Linked DNA regions of Mytilus edulis. The main gene of each other region encodes a partner of the protein of the gene in region 2 in a complex. Links are inferred from orthologs where the notes say so. Each region holds a gene or a part of one and is shown on either strand. Other genes may lie near its edges.

The links.
Region 1: eukaryotic translation initiation factor 3 subunit D-like (region 2) and eukaryotic translation initiation factor 3 subunit L-like share a complex: the UniProt entries of both Drosophila melanogaster proteins name them as parts of the eukaryotic translation initiation factor 3 (eIF-3) complex. The link is inferred for Mytilus edulis from reciprocal best matches to the Drosophila melanogaster genes eIF3d1 and eIF3l.
Region 3: eukaryotic translation initiation factor 3 subunit D-like (region 2) and eukaryotic translation initiation factor 3 subunit J-A-like share a complex: the UniProt entries of both Drosophila melanogaster proteins name them as parts of the eukaryotic translation initiation factor 3 (eIF-3) complex. The link is inferred for Mytilus edulis from reciprocal best matches to the Drosophila melanogaster genes eIF3d1 and eIF3j.

The regions. Positions count from the first base shown.
Region 1 is NC_092352.1:17,627,059-17,634,636, forward strand, and holds the start of eukaryotic translation initiation factor 3 subunit L-like, read right to left. Parts: upstream 3,054-7,578; 5' UTR 2,993-3,053; coding exon 2,951-2,992; intron 1,128-2,950; coding exon 1,076-1,127; intron 716-1,075; coding exon 562-715; intron 1-561. UniProt on the Drosophila melanogaster protein: Component of the eukaryotic translation initiation factor 3 (eIF-3) complex, which is involved in protein synthesis of a specialized repertoire of mRNAs and, together with other initiation factors, stimulates binding of mRNA and methionyl-tRNAi to the 40S ribosome.
Region 2 is NC_092352.1:39,012,316-39,019,699, forward strand, and holds the start of eukaryotic translation initiation factor 3 subunit D-like, read left to right. Parts: upstream 1-4,296; 5' UTR 4,297-4,369; coding exon 4,370-4,492; intron 4,493-5,334; coding exon 5,335-5,380; intron 5,381-6,064; coding exon 6,065-6,204; intron 6,205-6,776; coding exon 6,777-6,865; intron 6,866-7,327; coding exon 7,328-7,384. UniProt on the Drosophila melanogaster protein: mRNA cap-binding component of the eukaryotic translation initiation factor 3 (eIF-3) complex, which is involved in protein synthesis of a specialized repertoire of mRNAs and, together with other initiation factors, stimulates binding of mRNA and methionyl-tRNAi to the 40S ribosome.
Region 3 is NC_092347.1:85,262,064-85,269,227, forward strand, and holds the start of eukaryotic translation initiation factor 3 subunit J-A-like, read left to right. Parts: upstream 1-4,064; 5' UTR 4,065-4,123; coding exon 4,124-4,139; intron 4,140-4,230; coding exon 4,231-4,307; intron 4,308-4,836; coding exon 4,837-4,891; intron 4,892-6,689; coding exon 6,690-6,775; intron 6,776-7,164. Other genes in the region: protein FAM221B-like, read right to left, coding at 284-487, 981-1,091, 1,340-1,480, 2,183-2,345, 2,764-2,811. UniProt on the Drosophila melanogaster protein: Component of the eukaryotic translation initiation factor 3 (eIF-3) complex, which is involved in protein synthesis of a specialized repertoire of mRNAs and, together with other initiation factors, stimulates binding of mRNA and methionyl-tRNAi to the 40S ribosome.

The DNA.
Region 1 (7,578 bases), about 21 Mb from region 2:
TGTGTAAAACTTTAATGATGGTTAGCACTCAAAATAAGCTTTGGGCAGGAATAAGCACATAGCTGTTTGGCCTTATGAACTGTTCCTAGACATAAGAGGGTGGTTAAGGGTTATTTTCGTGCAACATGTTTTGCCATTTTTATTTCATGTGCAGCCGTGAAAAAAGTTCTTTATTCACTGTGTTTCGTGAAATTGGTAAAAAGATCAATGTGCAAGAAATTTTAAATTGTTCTTTCTTCCGTGCAAATACCCCCCCTTTACATCCCTCATATAAGTACAGTATTAACTTGGCAAATTAAGCGATAAACTGCAGGATAGCTTTGATAATTGGTGTACATAATGGTGATAAAAGTCCATCTACTTAAACAATTGCAAAGTACCAAATCAATATTTACCTTATATTTACATTTGTTTAAGATGAATTAATTTCATTTCATCACCTGAACTGATAAATTACATCTTTTTAAAAATAGAATTGAAATTGAACATGTTGAGAAAGAAGCTAGAATTTGGCTTAACACCTGCATGGTTTATATGCAGTAAGACATGTAAGAGACATACCCATTTTCATATGCATTTTGAATTTCATATAGATTCTGGTCATTTATAGCCTTCTGGAATACCATAAGGAAATTCTTGATGACATCTGGTACTATATACGAGGACGTCTGTTGGGCATACTGTCTTTCATATTCCAAATCTTGGCGTGGATCACCTTTATAAAAAATATAACATTGTTCTGTCAAATCATTTACCTTAATTAGAAAAAAATTTGGTAAAAAAAATTGCACTAACATAGAGGAATAGTGTACCTCACAGTAAATCATAGAACACTTTCAAGCTCATCCAACATTACTTACTGCTAGGACAAATGTTCATCAATGTTAGTGCAATAAATATATAAAATTCTTTATTTTGACTGATCTTCAAGACATGAGTACAATTTTATTTACCATAGTGATATCAGTCACCAAAGTTTAAGAATCTTTTAAATATAGTTTAATTATTAAATGATCACACATGGGGGACACTTAATGTAGAAATCCTATTTAACATGTTTAACATAGTAACATACCTGTGTGTGCATCATAATCAGTGGCACCTGGTTGAGGATATGCTGGATAATACTGAAATAAAAAGAAATTTTTTGAGTAATCACTCCAATAAATAATCAGTTTTAAATTAAATTATGCATTGTATAGACATGAATGTTTTGTTTAATATCAGTTGGTTAAAGAGCTCTTAAAAGAGCTTATCTTATGTTCCTTGTTATTATGTATATATGCAACCCAACATTAAATAAAGATTACTTTACTTTACAAGACAGCAAGATTCATGTGGACCCTTTGGCTAAAATGGCTGCCTTTTCACCTTAAAATTTATTTTGGGTGCCGACATATCTGAGTATCTGGATTTTTTTGAAGGCCTAATATACTCTAGATAAATAAAATTCAGATGTACATTTGTGTTTCATTTTTTAGAAAATTAAAAACAGTTAAGTTAACTGGATTTTGCACTGCACTCTTTTCATTTCTCCAGAAGGTGCCACTGTCATGACTGTTAACAAAGTTCAGAAAGAGGTTTAAGAACTTCCCTCACAAGTAATAATTGAAGTGAACTGTATTGATTGCCATGGGCAATAGAGGGGGGAAAGATACAGTACTTGACAATAATTGGCGATATAAACTGTGAACCTGAGTGGACCATACCAAATGAAACTCAGGTGTTTATTATTAATTTTATCATCTTCTGCAGGGACGAAAAAAAGTGCATTGCAAAAAATAGTTATCTTTAAAATTTTCTAAAGCATAAAATCCATTTTAATCAAACTTACAATGCCTTAAAACTTTTCTTAGTCATTTAGTCTGTACTTGAGAGTAAATGTAATTTCAACTACATGTATTTGAAGGAACTGAATTAGATTTTAATTTCTTCTAGTTGTCTGCCCATAGACCGTTATTTGTATTGCTGCGCTTCATGGGATATAGCCATTCAGTACGACAGGGCCGACTCGATTAGACGTGTTTCCCAGTTATTTTTTTTTATCTTGCTTAGGTGAATTTATTTGATGTTATATTTAATGTTTTAATTTCAGTAGTATTTATAAATTACTGACTATATTTTGTCGACATGATATTATGTATCATAATGTGAAATTAAAATCAGCACATGGCACTATCGTGTGGGTATTCAATTTGAACTTCAGTTTGGTTTTTATTAGTCTTATGTGTATAGAGGTAGTCTATGGACGTTTGTAATTGTAGAAGAAATTTTGATTTTAAAACACAGCCATTTCAGCAAAATGGTCCAGATGAACCTTATTAGTGCACTTTTTCAGTGATAGGATGATAGAATTTACTGTTAGCCCAACTTGGAAAGCTAGCTATGAATGATTATGACATCAGATATTGGTGTGTTAGGCAGCATTTTGAAGGTAATTAATGTAGATTTACGATATACATATATCAAGTTTAAGGGGGATGGACAACCACAGAAGCAAAATAAAATGAAAGTTCTTGATCAAGTTTCATTTCTCAAAAATGATTTGGGTACCTTGTGTTATATAAAGTACATGTACAAATGTATATAAATGTACTGTAGGTAATTTTTTTTCGGAGACAAGTGTCTGTAATCCTTTGTGAGGATATACAATGTCAATTTCTCATGTTTGGGATGAATAAAAATAATAAAATACTCTAAAAACCAATAAATGGAAATCACTAGTTTAAGCTGGAACAAATAATGGATTATCTTCTGGTCAACAGATCGAGTCTATTTATAGATTTATAGAGAAGCCGGGCTGTCAACTGGTCTGGCAATGAGTTCAACAATATGATGGATTATCATGTATTGATCGAATCAGGAATGCCATTGAAAAACATATAACATATACAAACGACTTGTGTAGATTCTATATACAAAAGTTCATATTAAAAACATTCATATTTACTTCAGGAGGAGCAAAAGATGCTGGTGGTTCGTCACTCCACATGTTGGAAAAAATCTCCGATAGAGTTGTCTGCCCTAGAAGAACGAAAAGAAAAAGAAAACAAAGTCGGACATCGGAGTAGGGGGACAACTCGTATCTTTTCCAACTCGTACTTTTAATACTATTAGTCGAACATAATGTTAGGTTAAATTCCTACACACAAACTTCTAGTAATGTATAAGAAAATATAATACTCAGTTTAAAATCAAATATTTAAAGTTACAGTAGTGGAGAAAATTTTCATTCCATGAAATCTGGGACTAATACATATCTGAGGGGGGATAGGAGGGGTCTTGATCCCGAAATCCCGGACTTGAAAAAACGAAATCCCGAGGTCCCGAATTTAAATAAAGCAAATCCCGACATCCCGAAATCCGAAAAAAAGGATTCCCGGATCCCGAAAGGGTCAATCCCGAAATCCCGAGCTTAAAAACACCCGATCCCGGAGTCCCGATAAAGGTCCTATCCCCCCTATATCTTATTTATACGGACAATGATTTGTCAAGGATTTGTGTAGTAAGAAGTAAGTAAGTAAGTAAAACTTTATTTGGATTCGGCATATTGACAAACAATACAAACATAAGCTCTAATGAGCTTTTCACCGAATATAAAAAACATATGCAATAACAAATAAAACAAGGCATGCAGCATGCAATAAATAATAAAAAGCAGCACAAAAAATTAACTCTAAGCAAATAGCATATACAAATGTACATGTATGTTGCAAAATACCAAAACATATATATGAAGCACTATTTTTTTTTTAAATTTGCAGTTTAAAAATTATTTAAAAAAAAAATTATGATTTATAAAGTAAAAATTTCAAATCTTTCAAATTTTAAAATGTAAAAAACAACATTTCAGTTGCAATGCAAGCTGTTAATGCAGCATAGAAAGCATAAATATTGTAACACAAATTATCTACAGGCAGAGCAAAAACATTCTGTTCCACTCCAGGACTGAACAAGACTCTTAAAATGTGAGAAGTTGTTAACAGTCCTGAAATGTTCTGGTAAGCTATTCCATAAAGAAGCAGCAGCAAAACTGAAAGATTTTTTTTCCATATGAGGTAGTTCTTACCTGTGGTATTTCCAAATATCATTGTATCTAAAAGAATATTTAGTGTGTTTAATTTGGAGTAAATTTTGTAAACATACAGGAGCCAAATTATTTAAAATTTTATAAGTCTCACGTGCCATTGTCCTGATGCGTCTTACTTGTAGGGTTGGAACCTTTGCGTTCTCAAGAAGAGTTTCAGAGGATGATAATTAGTCGTCATATACAAATCTTAATGCTCTCTTTTATATTTTTTCAACTTTTTTAGAATTTTTCTCTGTACAAAAATGCCAAGCCAAAGGGCAAAAATTAAAATTACTCAAAATAAAAGTATGAAAAAATGTAAGTTTATTTAATCTGTTTAAAAATGATCCAATTCTCTTGAGAACATTCAGCTGTTGTGATGCCTTTCTACACAAGTTACTATATGTGCATCAAATTTTAGTTGGTAATCAATATCAATTCCAAGTAACTTTACTGTTTCTTCACATGATAAAAAAGATTTTGCTGAATTTGTATAGATGGATTTTTTGCAAAGGTTCTTTTCCCTACAGCAATAACTTGAAATTTATCAGGATTTGCCTGCATCTTATTTTCTTTAAACCAATCAATAAGCACTTGAGTTCAGATTCTAATATGGATATGAGATGGTCATAATCCGGACTACTAAAAGACAGAGTATTGTCGTCCGCATAATTATATAATGTACTATGTTTAACAAAAAAGTATATATCATTTTTGAAGATATTAAATAAAAGGGGCCCAATATAGAACCTTAGGGTACACCTTTTTGGATGTCAGCCCAGCTACTCAGAACACCGTTTACTTTAATTTGCTGTTTTCTAAAAGAAAGATATGATTTTGATAAAGATACTGAATGTGGAGAAACACTATATGCTAGTAATTTATCTAGTAAAATGTCATGAGGTAAGCAGTCAAAAGCTTTTGATAAATCCATAAGAACTGCAGCTTTATATAAGTTTTTGTCTAAGGCTTTACGCCAGTCTTCCAGTAATCTGAGCAACGTAGTCTGACATCCATGTCCTCTACGGAAAGCACATAGATAAGGATTAAAAATGGAATCAAAGAAATCGTATAACTGTATTTCAAATATCTTTTCGTAAAATTTTGAAAAAATAGGTAACACACTGACTGGTCTGTAATTTGATTTCAGTAGTGGGTCGCTCTTTTTATGTAAGGGTGTAACTTGGGTTTCTTTAAGTTTGTCTGAAAATATGCCCGTGTCCACAGTCAAATTTATAAGACTGGTCAGCTGAGGTGCAACGACAGATTTACTTGCTTTAACTATTTTTGCTGATATCTCATCTGCTCCAGTTGCTTTTTTGACATTAACTTTATTTATGATTTTTTCCACTTTTTCTGATGTCACCTTTTGAAATTTAAAATTTGCATCTGTTTTCAAGTGATTTTGTTCATGTATGGCATTTATGCTATGATTGTTTAATGGATCATATATAACATCATTTTCTATCTTCTCAGCAACAGTGGCAACAAATTTATTAAAAATATCTGATAGTATTACATCTTTTGAATTATTTATAATTTTGTTTTCTTCAAATAAAATAGTCTTTTGCCCTTGGGATTGGCATTTTTTTGAAAAGAAAGGTTTGACAGTTTTCCCAAAAATCAGCACTTTTTGATCCCCCAGAACAGCGTTCTAAAAAATATATTTTCATAGATTTCTTTTTTAACTTCTTTACCATATTTCTTACTATACAAATCCTTGATACGGACTAAAATGGTTTCAACATCTAATCATCATTACAAGAAATGTGATTTTTTTTTGCTGCATGGAATTATTTAGCTGTTTTATATATTACATGCTACCAAGGAATTGTATATTTAAATATACAATTCCTTGGTGCTACGTTGCCTTATTTCATATCTTGTGTATAAGTTTTTATTTCCGTAAAGTGTTCATCAAAGATTATGTGTGGTTTTTTTGCTTTGCCGAATCAAATCAAAGCTTTTTATGTCCATGTTTATGCTGCCTATCAAGGCAATTTATCTATATCCATATATATATATGGATATATGTAGCAGAGTTATTTTTATGTTTATAATTTGATATATTGTAATAATCATTTATTTTTATATATACTTACATGAATGCATTCATATTTTGAATATTGAATCTATGAGTTTAAATTTTTACTTGTAAACCTTTATTTCGGGTGTTCACTCTATTGTTCTATGAATATCCACTATACATTTACTTGAATCGTTGTATCTGATTGGTTGTTATTATTTCGCGGTCCGCAAGTTAAGTCTCTTTTGTATTGGAGCTAGTAGATTTCCGCGGGACGATAGCCATGTCAGTCGCTTATAGTTGTGTATCTAACACCTAACAAAGATGTTGTTATACAGAGATACATGGACCTTGAATAAAGGCAACAGTAGTATACCGCTGTTCAAAATCCATAAATCGATTGAGAAAAAAACAAATCCGGGTTGCAAACTAAAACTGAGGGAATCACATCAAATATAAGAGAACTACGACACAACAGAAACACATCACTAAAATTAACACACACAGAAACGAACTATAGTATAAAAATGGCCATTTTCCTGAGCTGGTACAGGACATTTTAAGAAAAAATGGTGGGTTGAACCTGGTTTTGCGGGTAGCCAAACCTCGCGCTTTTATGGCAATGCTAAATATAACATTACAATGACAGCATTATATGACAGGACTACAGTACAAATAAATGCAAGAACATTCAGGACAAAGAAATACACAAATAAACATTGCAATAAGACATTTCGACATGCTAATAGTTATCAAAGAACTACCATATCATCCAGTTTGGATTTCTATAGTCAACTGATAGAGCGGCAATACCATCTGACTTAAATATAGCTGCATCGTGAATATTGTTTCAGTAAAGAAACAACAGCAGCATTCCAATACACACCAAAAATGTAACTACAAAAACAGTGACAGCATGGATCTAAATATTGAAAACTAGATCTTGCACTGCGACAGATGTGTTCGCCGGTAGCAGGCTACAAGTCACAGAGCGCTTCTAATCAACATCGAGACGACATAACCCCTTGAGTTAGTGTGTATTGAATACCTTGCAATTAAACTGTATATATAAATATATAATATTTAATGAGACCACTTCAAGGTGCAAACTTTGGTTCTAAAATTACCAAGGAAATATGCAACATCACTAGTATGACGAAGTCACGAACAACACCGTCTCATCAAATGGACATCACTGAAAGTTACCAAAATAAATACTCGTAAAGCTTGGTAGTGTACAGAAAACATTCAGAAGAAAGATTGGAAGTCACATGATGAAGGTTTTGTCCATGCTAACAACTGTACACGTCATCCGTCAACTGGATTTTCACCACACTTTTTGATGTTCGGAAGACAGCGACGTATACTTATAATTAGTAGATAACATATATACTACTTGGAAAGTTGGCATGTTAGGTACCTTAGAAAATGTTCAGACGAAAGGTTGGAAGTCACATGTTGAAGGTCTTGTCCATGCTTCTGA
Region 2 (7,384 bases):
TTAAAATTCATGTATGTTATAATAAAAGTTCATGGCGATTTTTATCAATGTTAAAACAAGTCTATCCACACGGGGTTTTGTGTTAATATATAAAAACGGCTTCTTATTAATCGCTTATAATCTAAAATCTAGAATGTCCTCACATACGGAATATATATATAGAGAGCGACTTTGCCTGGTTAAAATACGTATTTAAAGCTCCATGTTTAAAAAATGTTTGCTCTTAAAAATCTAAAAGTTCAGTGTTCATACGAAATTACTGCATTGTGATAAAAGTATATGTACGGTAAAATCTAAAAGTATGTCCACTATGAATCTGTGGGCAATCCGGTGCTTTAGGACCCAGAGTCAATGGTATCCCTACCCCTCCCCCTCTCCATGCTAGCTTATCTTCTACGATGTGCCTCTAAGTCTTTTCGTCCAACAGTACATTTCTCTTTATGTGCAACTTGAAGAAAAGGTTTCTGGAATGGTTTTCCATACGGGCTACGCTGGCTGAGTTATGTCTATTTAGGTTGATGAGTTTTGCACTGTCGAGGAGCAATTGCATTTGCGTTGTAATGTCCAGGTCATGGAACCTTATGGTATTATTCATCTCATTTTGCCATATGTCATTCACCTCTTTAAGTATCACCGCTCTAACGGACTGTAACTTCTCGCATTGCATTACAAAATGTTCTAGTGTTTCCTCCTGTAACCCACAAAGCAGGCAGGTCGGGTCTGTTTCTTGTCTGTAGAATTGAATCCGTTTTGTTTGAAGTACATAAGTTCCAGTAATAAGGCGTAATCTGGTAGGGATTCTGCTATTGTCTAGAGCGGATTGACTCTTGTGTTGGAGGATTGGGTGAAGTTTTCCCTTGATGAGGTTTTGACTGCTCAGGTACTTTAGGCCCAAGTATAGTTCGGATATTTGTACAGTTTTGATGCTCCAGTATTTCATCACAGCGTTCTTTATCAATGTGATCCACTGAGTTTTCTTTGTTGGGTTGGCCAAGTAGGTGTTTGCTTCGCTGAGATCGTATAGACGTAGCAACTTGTTGACGTGTATGAACCAACTATTACTTTCCTCACTGCAGACTGTCAGTTGTCTTCTGGCAAGCTTTTTCTCGGTACTCTCTTCTGATTGATGGCAGATATTGTTAAAGAAAGTTAGCGTCTTAATGTGAATTTGGGCTTCAACCGGAAGAATTCCTGTGAGTATGTAGACTGCTGGATCAGGGCATCTTGTTGGCAGCGATAATATCTGTTTAAGCATCCTTTTTTGGAAGATCTCAAGTTGTTCAAGAGGCTTACCGGATGGGGTTAGAAGTTCCATTCCGTATAGTAGGACAGGGAGTATATACGTCTTGTAGATATGCAGTAGCGATTCAGGGTCCAAACCATTGTGTCCATGGAACCCGGCTCCAAGTAGGCTGTATGCACTCCTTCTTGCCTTTGTTATATTTTCGTTGGTGTTACTTTGTATATTGTTCTTCCGAGTTGTAGTTCTGATGATCCCAAGGTGTGTAGCCTGCTCAACATTAGGCATAGGTGTGTTACCCATCATCAGGTTGTCTTCTTCCATTTTGGTGTTATTGCTGTTTCCGCTTATTTTAATTACTACACTTTTCTTTGGCTGCAGCTGGTATCCTTCTGAATTGGCAAAATCAAGGGCCATGTTGACCATAATTTGAGCATCAGCTGGCTGCATACTCAATATTGCGATATCATCTGCGCATCCGGTGTTGTTTGTGTTGACATTCCCTATAGTCATGCCGTAGGTTGTGTTTTGGAAGTGGTCTAACAGAGGGTTGATGTATAACTTGTACAGGTCTGTACTCAGTATGCCTCCTTGCCTGACACCCATGCCTACTGTGAAACGCTCTGATGTTTTTCCGGACCATTTTATGCTACTTTCTGCGTTTTGATGAAGACTCCTAATGATTGTCCATGTCCTGTCTTGAATCCCAGCATGATATACCCTGCGGAATAGATGTGAGTGCACCACAGTGTCAAAGGCAGCTTTTGCGTCGAGCAAGACTAGGTAACCGTTTTGCTTTTTTTCCGGGAGAATTCGGTACATTTCCTCCACAGGTAGTGCTGCATTCATCGGGGAGGATCCTTTGGTGAATCCTCTTTGAGTTGGGTTTTGCACCTTCTGCACTTTTGGTTGTACCCGATCTCTAATGATGGCCTCAATTATCTTGCTCTCTACGGGTAAAATAGTTATTCCTCGGTAGTTTAATGCATCGTTTTTGCTGCCTTTGTTCTTAAATACAGGAGAAAGCAGTCCTATTTTCAGAATTGTTGGTATATCTCCTTCTAGGAATATGATATTGATGAGTTGAGTAAGGGCGGATAAGATATTATCTCCAGCATATATGAAATGTTCGATGGTTATATTATGGTAGTCTGCGGATTTGTTTCTATTTATTGTAGAAATAGCTTTACGGACATCATTTTCTATGACAGGGCGTATCGTTTCTTGGTCTACCAGTTTGCAGATATTGCTTATTTCCATTTCCACTTGGGAGTGGTACTCCGGGTTGCTGAAGGCCTCTTCTTTAAGTGTAGAAAGAGTACAGAAGTGTTCCTTAAATCCTTCTATGACTTTGTCTCCCGAGTATGTGGCGCCATTAACGTTTATATCCTGTATGTGTTCAATTCCCTTCCTGCGGTTCTTTTGAACTAGTTTGTGGAAGACCTCCATGTTATTCGATCTTGCTTCCATGATGCTCTCTTTTTCTGCCTCCAGTTGCCTTGCTACTGCTATGCGTACTGTTTTCCTAAATTCCTTTTTTCCTTGTTTTTTCTTGAGTGTTAGGGGATTTGCTGGATCGTTTGGTCTCCCACCTTTTTGCCATTCGTTGTACGTGATCCGTTTTTCCTTTAAGGCGTTCTTTATGTCACTATTCCATACTTTGAGCTTTGGTCTTGATTGATAAACTGTTTTATTTCCTGATGAATTTTGTGATGCTGTTGTGAGTATATCATTCATCCGCTCAACTACTTCTTGTGACTCTAATGAATCTGTAATAATTGATTCTTGCAGCTTCAGTGCCTCTTTGTCTGTTATTGCTTTATACAGATCCTTGTCTACCTTATCCCATTTAATTTTGGATTTCGGACGTTTTTTTTGGTTCATATCAAGTTTCTCATGCTTCCAGTTTATACTCATACTGATTGGATAATGGTCTGAGGCGTTGGTTTGGCATTTGAGGATTGACTTTCCCTTCCCTAGTATGTCTGGTGTTATGTTGTGTAGGAAATAGTCAATTTCAGAGCATTCACACCCCTTCGAGTTGATAAATGTATTTCCAATGTTATCAAATTTCAATTCAATTTCATTTATAAATTTCTTCAGGTACTCCTTTCTCTTGTTCGTTGGTTTTCCAGCATTAAGGTCTTCGTTAATGTCTCCACCTATAATAATGTGGTGAGTACTGATGTATTTTTGGCATATCTCGTGCAGTTCATCTATGCACTCTTGATATTCTATTTGATGGTTTTTGCTCCCGTTTGATGGTAGATACACGCTAACAACCAGTATTCGCCTAACCGAGTTCTCAAGTTCAATACACTGTATTTTTTCCGATCCGTCGTCAAGAGGTCTAATGAGATGATTTATGTTTGTGTTCCAAATGATTCCCACGCCACCGTATCCTCTGGGCATGGATACTGGAAGAATTGGTTCGTTCATATCCACCCCCTTGGCTGCAAAGTTTACGTTACAGTTAATATCAGAGATCATATGTATTTGAGAATGAAAAAGCCAATGTTCCTGAATTAAGATGATGTCATTTTCCTGTAGAATTTCGCTAATGGAGTGTCCACATGTTTTGATATTTTTACAGTTGTATGAGGCTATGCTGATGGATTTGTCCTTAGTGTCTAAAATTGGTTGATGTTGTTTCGTTGGGGATTGCTCTGCACTAAAAAAGGGTTGTTTCCACAAGCTGCACCTGTTGCCATGTTGTATAACGGTTGTTGATTAACAGGGTGGTGCGTTGGAGGGATTTGTGACTCTAGTCTTCTGACATAGTAGTGTTGTCTTGGTGGTAATGGTGCACTTGGACCAGGGTGTTGTACATGTGCCTTTTTTGTTCCATTCCATATCTTTCGGGTGTTATCAGATTTCTGTTGACATGCTCCTGTAGCAGCTTTCTTGTTTGGATGGCTGTATATTAGAGGTATTCCGTGGAGTTTGGTAGGGTCCTCGTTTGTTATTGTTCTTGGCGAGTAGTCGGCAGATATAGTTTTGGCCTCTTCAGTTTTGTGGCTGACAGAGATGTTTGGCTTGTCTTTGTTGTTCGTTTTCACCGAATCTTTTCGGTTATTAGTTTAGTCTGAAAACGAGGCTGAAAGACGATCACGTTTTGCCGGTAGAAATATGGCATATTTTAATCCCCCACAAATTCAAGATAACCCCGTTGGATGGGGTCCTTGTGCTATTCCTGAACAATTTAAGGACATGCCATATCAGCCCTTTTCAAAGGGAGATCGGCTCGGAAAGGTAGAGTACTGTAATGAATAAGTTGTCAACATATTGTAACTTTAAAAAAGGGGGAGGGAAGGATTGTCAGAATGATCCAGGAAAGTTCCTGGAGTATCAAACAGCAGATCAGTTTTGTTCCATCTGGTGAATGGTTTAGACATAATGTGTAAAATAATCAATTAAGATCGATGGTGCTTAACAAGTTGGCACTTGCTGACTTGGTCTTTGCCTTTGGTGCCAATCTAGGGGCTTCCAGGGGCGTAGCTACATTTACGTCAAAACGCCCGGGCGTACACTTGAATTTTATAAAAAAAAAATATCTCCATTAAAAAGATCTGGTTTAAAACACATCAGTGTTGTAAATCAATCTTCAATAGCTTGTAATTGCTTATAAAAGTGACGAAATCTATTTCCGATCAAATAGTGCCGTATTATATATTTGTTTATTTTCTTTCGGTCAAATTCTGAATCTCCTGGTAATTCTTCTTACTTTCCATTTGTTTAAAGAAATTCATAATCAGCTGAGATCCGATATGTGCTTTGAATTTTAGCCGAGCCTGCGACATTTATAACGCGAAAAAAAGAAATAGCGAACCTAGATTTTTTCAGCGGCGTCAACATTTAGGTTCAATATGTGGTTATTTTAATATCAATAATTTTGTCAAACCTTCATGAAGTTTTACGAAAGTTGGACAGAAGCATGCCTGATGAGGTCACATTTAAAATTCCAGTCTTTGATTTAGGAAATTTGAACAAAATTTCTGTAATGTCACTAATATCATTTATGTCTAGAGCTGCAGTTTGAATAATAACCATATTATACATGAATTATATAATCTCTCATGGTGCTTTATTTTTAGGTTTCTGATTGGACTGGAGCAACCTATCAAGACAAAAGATATTTAGGTATTGGTTTATCTAAGTAGAACGGTTATGTTTTATATAATAGTACATGTATTTATCAGATTTGCACCTATTTTTATTTGGAGTGCAGGTGTTCAGCTAAATTTCAATCAGAATATAGTAGACAATAGACAATATTTTATTAGCACAAACACATTTACATTAAATGGTTATGGCATACAAAATTAAATACAATATATAAGTAGCAGTTCAATAATCAAATAATAAAAAAAAGTACTAAGTATTATGGTTAACATGATCATGCAATAAGTCGAAGTAAGCATTTGTTGATTTTTTTAATTTAGAGTATCAAAATAAAAGCTTTAATTTATTAAAGAAACACATTTCTTTAGATATAGATTGTTAAAAAAAATAGGTTTTTTCTCTCTTTGCTTTATATATATATAACATCATTTTGGAAAAATCAATTGATGCATTTACTTGAGTATCAGTTTCCTAGAAGAATTAGACACTGTCTATGTCAAACATTCCTTTTGTATGTAAAGTCTACAATGGATCTCCATCTTCTCCCCGTTTTATTTGTGTTGATATGGAGGTAGAAAAACAACATCTTCACTAATATTTTATCTATACGTAAGTAATGATGTGTGTATTAAAAGTCTTTTAGACACTGCAGATTTATGTTAATATGTATAAACAACAGCTCTAAATATTTGTATTGCACAGGGAAATACAGTTCTTCATTTGGAGGATTAGGAAGCCAGTATGCTTACTACCATGAAGAGGATGAGAACAGTTTCCAACTTGTTGATACAGCTAAGGTTCAGAAACCAGTGTACCAAAGAGGAAGAAGAGTTTATCAACAGGTATGAAAACATATTGAAACAGGGTTCTAAAACAAATTATGAAGTATAATTGTTTTGCTGAGTACAAAACTAAGCTTTACTTATGTGGTTAAAAGAATATTGCTGAAACAAAAACCCTCAGTATAAAACAGTCATGTGACAATTTTGCAGGTTGTTTTTATAATCCTTTTCTCACATTGTCATGAAGAGCACATGTTGTCAAAAGTTTGTGTGTTTTTAAGACATCAATAGCTTAATATTGCTATTTGATATTTGTCTGCAAATAAAAAATGATGGAATCATTATGAGACAACAATATTACCGATAAGTGGACTGTCTCATTGTTGTAACATCATCATGATAATATTCAATCTTCAGACTTTATTTTTGAAGTCCTACAAATAAGAATTCTTATCAAATTTAACCACATATCTGCTATTTCAAGTAACAAACCATCTAGTATTGATTATATTCACCCAAGTAAACGAACAAATATTTTACAATAATCCATTGCCTCAGTTTGTTTAAATACAGTGAAAGGACCTAAAATTTGTTGCACAACGTTTGAAATTATAAATACATTTTTTTTGCAGAATAAACAAAGAAAGGAAAGAGAAAGAAGGCAACAACAAGCTCAAGCTAGTATGCAGGTGTTGTCTAAAACACAGAAAAGTAGAGAAAGGTACAGATATTACTTAAACTTGAGGGTTATTTGTCTTGAATGCTTTTTTTCTAATAAAATTAGATTTTTCTTTGGATAAAATTACCTCGATTGGGGGATTATATTGATTGATATATGTATAAAGGAATTTTTCGCAAACTGACTAAAACCAAAAAAATAATTTTGCAGCAAGTTCTAAAGACTTACATATTTAACAGAGAGTAAACAGCACACCTTACTGGAAAAACAAAGGAGTAAATACCATTCACAATTTAAAGTGTCATGAAATCTTCATCTTGTCTTTCTATACCAATGCATTTGAATAGGGGCAAAGTAAGCATTTCTAGTAAAAGATACTTTGCTAGCCGCCTTGTTTAATGTAGGATAAATGTTTGAGGATTTTTAATATTCTTTTCTCGTCAAACACTGAATGTTTAAATATGCAAGTAAAACTGAATGATGACAATAATGATACTTTTACAGGGATCGTCAGCGTCTGTTGAGGAAATGGCAGAAACAGTTTGGTAAACAACAAGAAAA
Region 3 (7,164 bases), on a different chromosome or scaffold from region 2:
CAGTATAACAATTGTATGGTTCGATAATTGCCACAATACAAAAAAATAGAAGTTCAGATGTATGGATGTACCATGAAAGATTTATATATAAAAAATGGAAGATGTGGTATGATTGCGAATGAGACAACTCTCCACTAGATAACTAGTGAAACAGAAGTTTGAATCATGAAAGATTTACCCATCTTCTCAACACATGCAGAGTTGTTCTTATCTTTATTAAGGTACATAAGAAAACCTAAATTACTTTTAGAATGTTAAATCCTCAGTCAGTATTGGAACAAACCTCTAGATCTACATCTTCTCATCCCTGTTGGTTCATGTTCTTCATGTGTGTGTTTACAACGACATTTAGCTCTCCATGTACTAGGATCAAAATCTCTTCTACGTTGATGCCAGAATTCGCCTACATCCTCAGGACGTGAAGGAATCCAAGCAAAACCTTTACACTTACACCCCCCTTGTCGACATGGTACCTGTACACTCTTTCCTAAAACATTAGAAGTAAAATAAAGAGTAAGAAGGTATGGTATACACGTAGGTCGCTGATGGTACAAACACAGGTCACTGTAATAATGTTTTATGCTAATGTAAATATGAACAGTAACAATGAAGTGCAAAAAGATCAAGTTCACTTTCGGCAAAATATGGCCTTGAATTTAAAGATTATAACTTTGTATGTTACAATGTGATGTAAGAAAAAAAAACCCATTCTTTCATTTTCAGGTTTTCTTAATTAAATAAATTTCAATATTTGATTATTTGCCATGCTCCAGGAAAATTTCATTTGTATATTCTTCAAATTAACAAATATAAGAAATTATTCACGAATAATGATACAGTTGTAGATATTTTGTACATAGATAATACTTTAGCTCAAGTGTTATATAATGCAAAATTAAAAAATAACATGAATTTGATCCTTCTGGTAACTTGAGTTTTCTATTTCAACTCTAATTGTAAATACATATTATACATCATACCTGTGTAATTTGCATGTCCATTTAACAGATGACCACAGAAACATTTGGAATAATCATTTACCCTTTGACAATCATGTTTAAACTCTGGACATCTCCATCCAATATAGATTCCTGAATTAAATCAAATTCAAAATTTTAAGGATTAAATGAATAAAACAAATTTTTTTTATTTTTTTTTATTTTTTATTTTTTTATAAAGTTTTTGCAGATCAAGCCACTACCTGCCTGCTTGAATGAAATTACCTATTTAAGTGACATTACTTAAAAGAACTATAATTCTAAATCAGATTCACCACAATGACCAAAAAAACCAAGAAATAATCCATAAAATAAAATAAGGGAGATAATTCTGATTTTACCTGTTTTCTGAGCAGTTAAGGCAGCTTCAACTTCTGGATCAAATAACTTCTTTAGTCTCGGAGCAAAATCTTGATTCATGGCTCTGGCAAATGATACAACATCATAGTTCTTGGCTGGTTCTATTTTTCTCATGGTATATCCTAGAAACAATCAAGAGTGATTGGTATTTAATAATAAATGTGAATTTGATGTAAATATGGTTTGTCATAAGCAAGTTTTCCCCAGAATTAATTAAGTCAATTAGGGGAGATAATTTCATAGTCACAGCTATATTCATAAAAGCCTCAATAATGTTTTTTTTAATAATTCTTTGTTACTAGTGGCATCTATTTCTTGAAATTTTTGGGTTGGTTTAATAGACTAACAAAGTATCAAAACAGAAACTTTGGTATGGATAACGTTGATAAGAAAGCTAGCTCAAATCTTAACAAATGATAAGTGTAAGCATATTTGATTTTAGATTTATTCAATTTAAATACATATACATTAGTTGGCATGAAAATATTATAAAAGTTGAATCGTCACTAAGACCAAAACGAGGACCCGGAAACAAGTTTCCAGCTTATATCATTCCTTTTCACTTATAACTGATTACACAAATATACCTACAAAATACACAGAAGTTTCAAAGCTATTTAATACTCTCTGACATCAAAGTTGGAGTATTATTATGATAGTTATATTTTCTTTGTCATTTCTCATATAAACATGGAGTCCAAATACTACTAAGCAATCAACAGATACTAAAAAGCAATGTTTATATCATCTAAATTTGTATTTCTTACCAGATATTGTTTATTTACAAGATACAATGTAAAATGATTTAAACAAACAAATTTTACCTTCAGGAACTAACATTCCATCTTGTTTTTTCATGGCAATAGGTTGCATGCCTCGTGGTAATACTGCTTTTCCTCTTCCTGAAGGAGCTCCCCTTCCTGCAGGAGAACCTCTACCTGAAGGAGCTCCCCTTCCTGCTGGAGAAGCTCTACCTGCACCTATTGTCTGTAATATAAGGACATCATGTCTTAAAAAGGGAGATAATATTAATATACATTTTAACACTGTCTAGTGTCTGGTATGAATAGTTTCAAAGTATTATAATTTCAAGTTTGTGCTTATGGTTTTTTTTTCTCAAATAATAATGCTCCTTAACATCAGTTAAACAATTTTAAGTATTGCTTTCCATAATTTAAGAATTTAAGGATTATTTATTCAAATTAATAAATTAATAATTCCTTTGATTTGTCCCAGATGCTCGATCTACTGCATCAAAACAATCTGCTTCCAAGTTCAATTGATCCATTAAATTCCATTTAAAAACATCAGGGCCAACAAATATTATTAAACTAGTAATTGGAAGTCATTAAATATCAGATAAAGACTTGCTGTGAAGTACTGAGTTTAACTTCATATGCATTACCTGTTTTGGCTTAGTACCAGTTGTTTTTGGGACTGGTTGTTTACTCATACTATACTTCTATTAATTACTGTAAAATAATACAACCTGAAAACAAATTTGACATATCAGATTAAATGTATGTGAATTACTCTAAACTAATACAACCTGAAAACAGATTTGACATATATCAGATTAAATGTATGTGAATTTCTGTAAACTAATACAACCTGAAAACAAATTTAAAATATCAGATTATATAAAACTGTGGACTGGTATTAAATTCCACTGAGTAATGGTGTACAGAAAAAATGAAAATTTATATGTATCTTTTTTGGTAGAAATGTGTCTGAAAGTGAAACGGTGCGGGTTTCTGATGGTATGAGGATAGCAGAATGGATTGCTACGATTTGGTGTACTATTTTGTAGAACATTATCAATCTTGTGCATAATCTTCTTTCCTGTAGTGTGGGCCAGTTTAGTGAGTTTATCATGTCTGTAGTACTACTGATGTTATGGTACCTGTTACAGACATATCTGGCAGCTCGTCTTTGGACCATCTCAATTTTAGAGGTTTGTTTAACTACTGTGTGAGGGTCCCATACTGAACATGAATATTCAAGCTTAGAACGAACCAGTGCCAGATATACCTGGGTTTTGATGTTCTGGCATGATGTTTTTAAATTTCTTTTTAAGATTTGTTACCATTAGCTATAATGTTGTCTGTATGTTTTGACCATTTTAAGTTTGCTTGTAGTGTAATGCCTCAATATTTACTTTAAAGTGTATAAGATTAATTCCCTGTTAGATATACTATAGTCAGGGTTACAAGTAACTAGTCCCTTACTATAAATTTAAAGTATGGCCAAAACGACTAAGGAGGAACCGGATCTATGGCCGAAACGTCTTGAGTCCATCCATTAAAATTTAATGAACCTGGACCATTTTTTTGTTATTGTTTTTCTGTAGATTCATTAACCAAATATACTGACAAGGGTAGCAATTATATAAACTTTATCGTAAAAGTGAAATGAAAATATGTCATACTCTTATTGATTCTGTATATGTTTTTAAACAGGAATAAATATTAAGCGACTTAGTCACTTCTTCAGTTTGTCATCCATTTGTAAACAAAGCAGTCACGCACCTTGGATATTCTGGTTTCCTGTCAGCGTGAAGTAATTTATCCTTTCAGAATTCTATTTTCGTGAAACCAGTTTAAAATAATTAAATAAATATTTTTCAAAATAATGTATTGAAATAATTTTAAGATTATACGAAAAATATCAAATAATATTGTAACTCATAAGAATTATTTTATTACCTCCAAAGAAATTGCATTCCCGCGCAAATAATTTCTATTTTTAGTTTCTAGAACTTCAAGATGTCTGACGCATGGGGTAAACATGTGGAGAACATATTTATGACTTACTAAGTTCTTAATTACAATTTTAAATGAATTTTATGATTTATTTATTTCATATTTTGTAGATGCCGATGATTTTGAGCCAGAAGTACCTGTGAAGACAACGGATCAGTGGGAAGGGGAGGATGAAGATGATGTCAAGGTTTATACGATTTTTTTTACCAAATTACATGGTTTTCTTCATTCTTTGTTTAGAAGACAATTAAACGTAGTCGTGATTTGGAATCTTAATTTAACATATTAAATCTATTGCTCATCATTACTGGATCCTTCCTGGATCAATCCTTTACACGTGACAGCTGTTTCATTTTGCCTATACTCGCTGTCAGCTGAAATTCGTAGCGGTTATCGGTTAAAATAATCTTAACTATCAATCGTGTTCACTTGAGATATAGTTTTTCACATTCCATTCATAAATCGCGAAAAGAAAAACCACCTACCTTTGAAGTGATCACACTGTAATAATCCTGGGATATTTTCTTAAGGGATTCTGATATATGATTAACCAGCTGTTCCTAATTAAATTTCAAATGTGACATATGAAATATTTAGAATGACAAATGGTTTCCTTTTGGGTGTTGGTCAGAAAAAAAATGACAATTAAAATGTTCTTATCTGGTAATTGTATAAGTTATAATGCGCTCAATACAAATTAAAACTTTTGTTTACAGGATAATTGGGAGGATGACGATGATGAAGAAAAGAAGACAGAAGAAAAAGATCAGGGTATGTTGATTTGTCCTATTAATAAAAATACACACTGTAGCCAATTTGAACTGCACTATGGTCATTTAAAAAAACGGGATAATGCATGCCTATGAGAAAATGAACTTAAAATTATTAAATTAAAGGATAAGGCCACACCAATTTAATCTTGTTCGACGGACCCGCCCGCTCCTATTTTTTTCAAAACAGATTTTTATTATTTTTATTATATTCTTGCTTCCTGCATCCGGAAATGTAATCATGTCCATTTCCCATACCGTTTTTTTTTTGTAAATATTATAAAAAGATCTCAACATTTGTTTTTAAAATCATAGTATAACCTTTATATAACGATTTTAAACCTATAAGCACCTCACGACACTAAATATCTGTGAGAATATTTGTTTCAAGCGGGAGTGCTCCGATATAAATATATAACAGTGGAAACACCTGTACAGAACAAAACATTGGTTTCTTTCCCCCAGACTTATATTCCCTATCAAAAAATGTTCGTAGTTAAAATAAAGTACAAAGAACTTCTGAAGGATTTGCCTTCAACTGCAATTATAATGTATGCTGACGGTCATACCTGCTGCAGGTTTGTGCACTGGTCCTGATTGATTCAGGGACCTGTCGTTCAGCAGTTATCGTTTGTTGGTGTGGTTCATTGGTATTTTCCCGTTTGGAAATATAAATTAGATCGTTGGTTTTCCTGTTCGAATTGTGTACAATACTAAGTTGTGGTCCCTTATACCTTGCTGTTTGGTCTGGATCAAATCTCTGTGTAAAAGGCCGTACTTTGACCTATGTTTGTTATTATCAGGTAATCCCTCAGACAAGGACCTTGAAGGGGTCATTTAACCATGTTTACTGTTGTAGAAAAGAAAACAGAAATACTAAAGATTTTTATAGTGCATCTATACAAAACTGTATAGTGCTACTATACAAAACCTTTGAAACTTTAGAATTTTTTTACTCAAAAAGAGGAGAAATACATTATATTTTAAACGACTTTTAAAAGAGAGGTCCACTTATTTTAAATAATATAAAACTGTTAAATTTTTGGACATGTTTTGACCATTTAATACCATATAGATATTATAGTTCTTTGGGAAAATATTACCCCTTTTGTACTCAAAGTGTTTTTACAAAATAAATATATTATAACTTATATTGACCCCTCATAAAAGGGATATTCATAACATTAAGGGGTTGTTCTGAACCTGATTATGACTTGGATGGAGAATTGTCTCATTGTCAGTCACACATACATAGACCAGATTTAATTATTCAATTATTTCTTGTTGAACAGGGAAAAAATACTTCATAAATTAAAGATATGTCAAGGTACAAGTGATAAATCAAGTTTTAATATAGTCAAAACCTACTATTTTATGTTTACAAAAAAAAATTATAATCGCTCGCCTTTACTTTTTAAGCTTCGCCTCAAAAATTTGCAAATTAAATATTTTTTTATTAAAATTTTCAAATTGCTCGCTCGCCCCAATTTTTGGAGTTCAAAAATCTGTAGAACAAGAAATTAAATTGGTGTGGCCTAACAGAAAAATATGGGATAGTACAAACCACCAATGCCTGACTGAAGAAAAAAATAGACAAATCAACACATGATCCAGTTCTTGTTACAAAATAGAACAAGTCTTATATGTGCATGAACCACAACCATCACATTGTTTTCCATCAAAAACCTTATCTAGAGATAGTGAACTAGATTGAATCTACAATAAGCACAGAAATGTGAAACCCCTGTAAAAAGCTAGGAAATTAGAATTTTTCTGATATAATACATCATTTCTTTCAGAAGGGAAGCCTTTTCAGAGAAAGAAAAAGAAATTAGCTGACAGAATAGCAGAAAAACAAGCTGCCAAACTTGCTGCAGAAGAAGCTGTAATTTTAACTTATTTCTCTTTATTTAATGGCCATTTATATATTGTTTGGCCAAATTGTAACAGTAAATTACAGTCTGGTTGATACTCTAAACAGTGTCTTCCAAGTTGCTTGATCAATAATTAGAACTTGTCACACATTTCAGAACTTTCTGATAGGTACCTACTACCTGTTAGCCCATACTTTAAATTTTAATATTGTTACTAACCTGTGTTTAGTTATAAAATCTCTGTAAGATACCTATTTCCTTTCTTCTGATAGTTTGAAATGCAATACATGGTAAGCATAGCACAATAACAGGTTTATTCTTATAACTTTTGCAATAGTAAAGACACATTTTCACTAAACATGACTAGAACAAAATATTGTATTGGCCTGCCAATTATTGC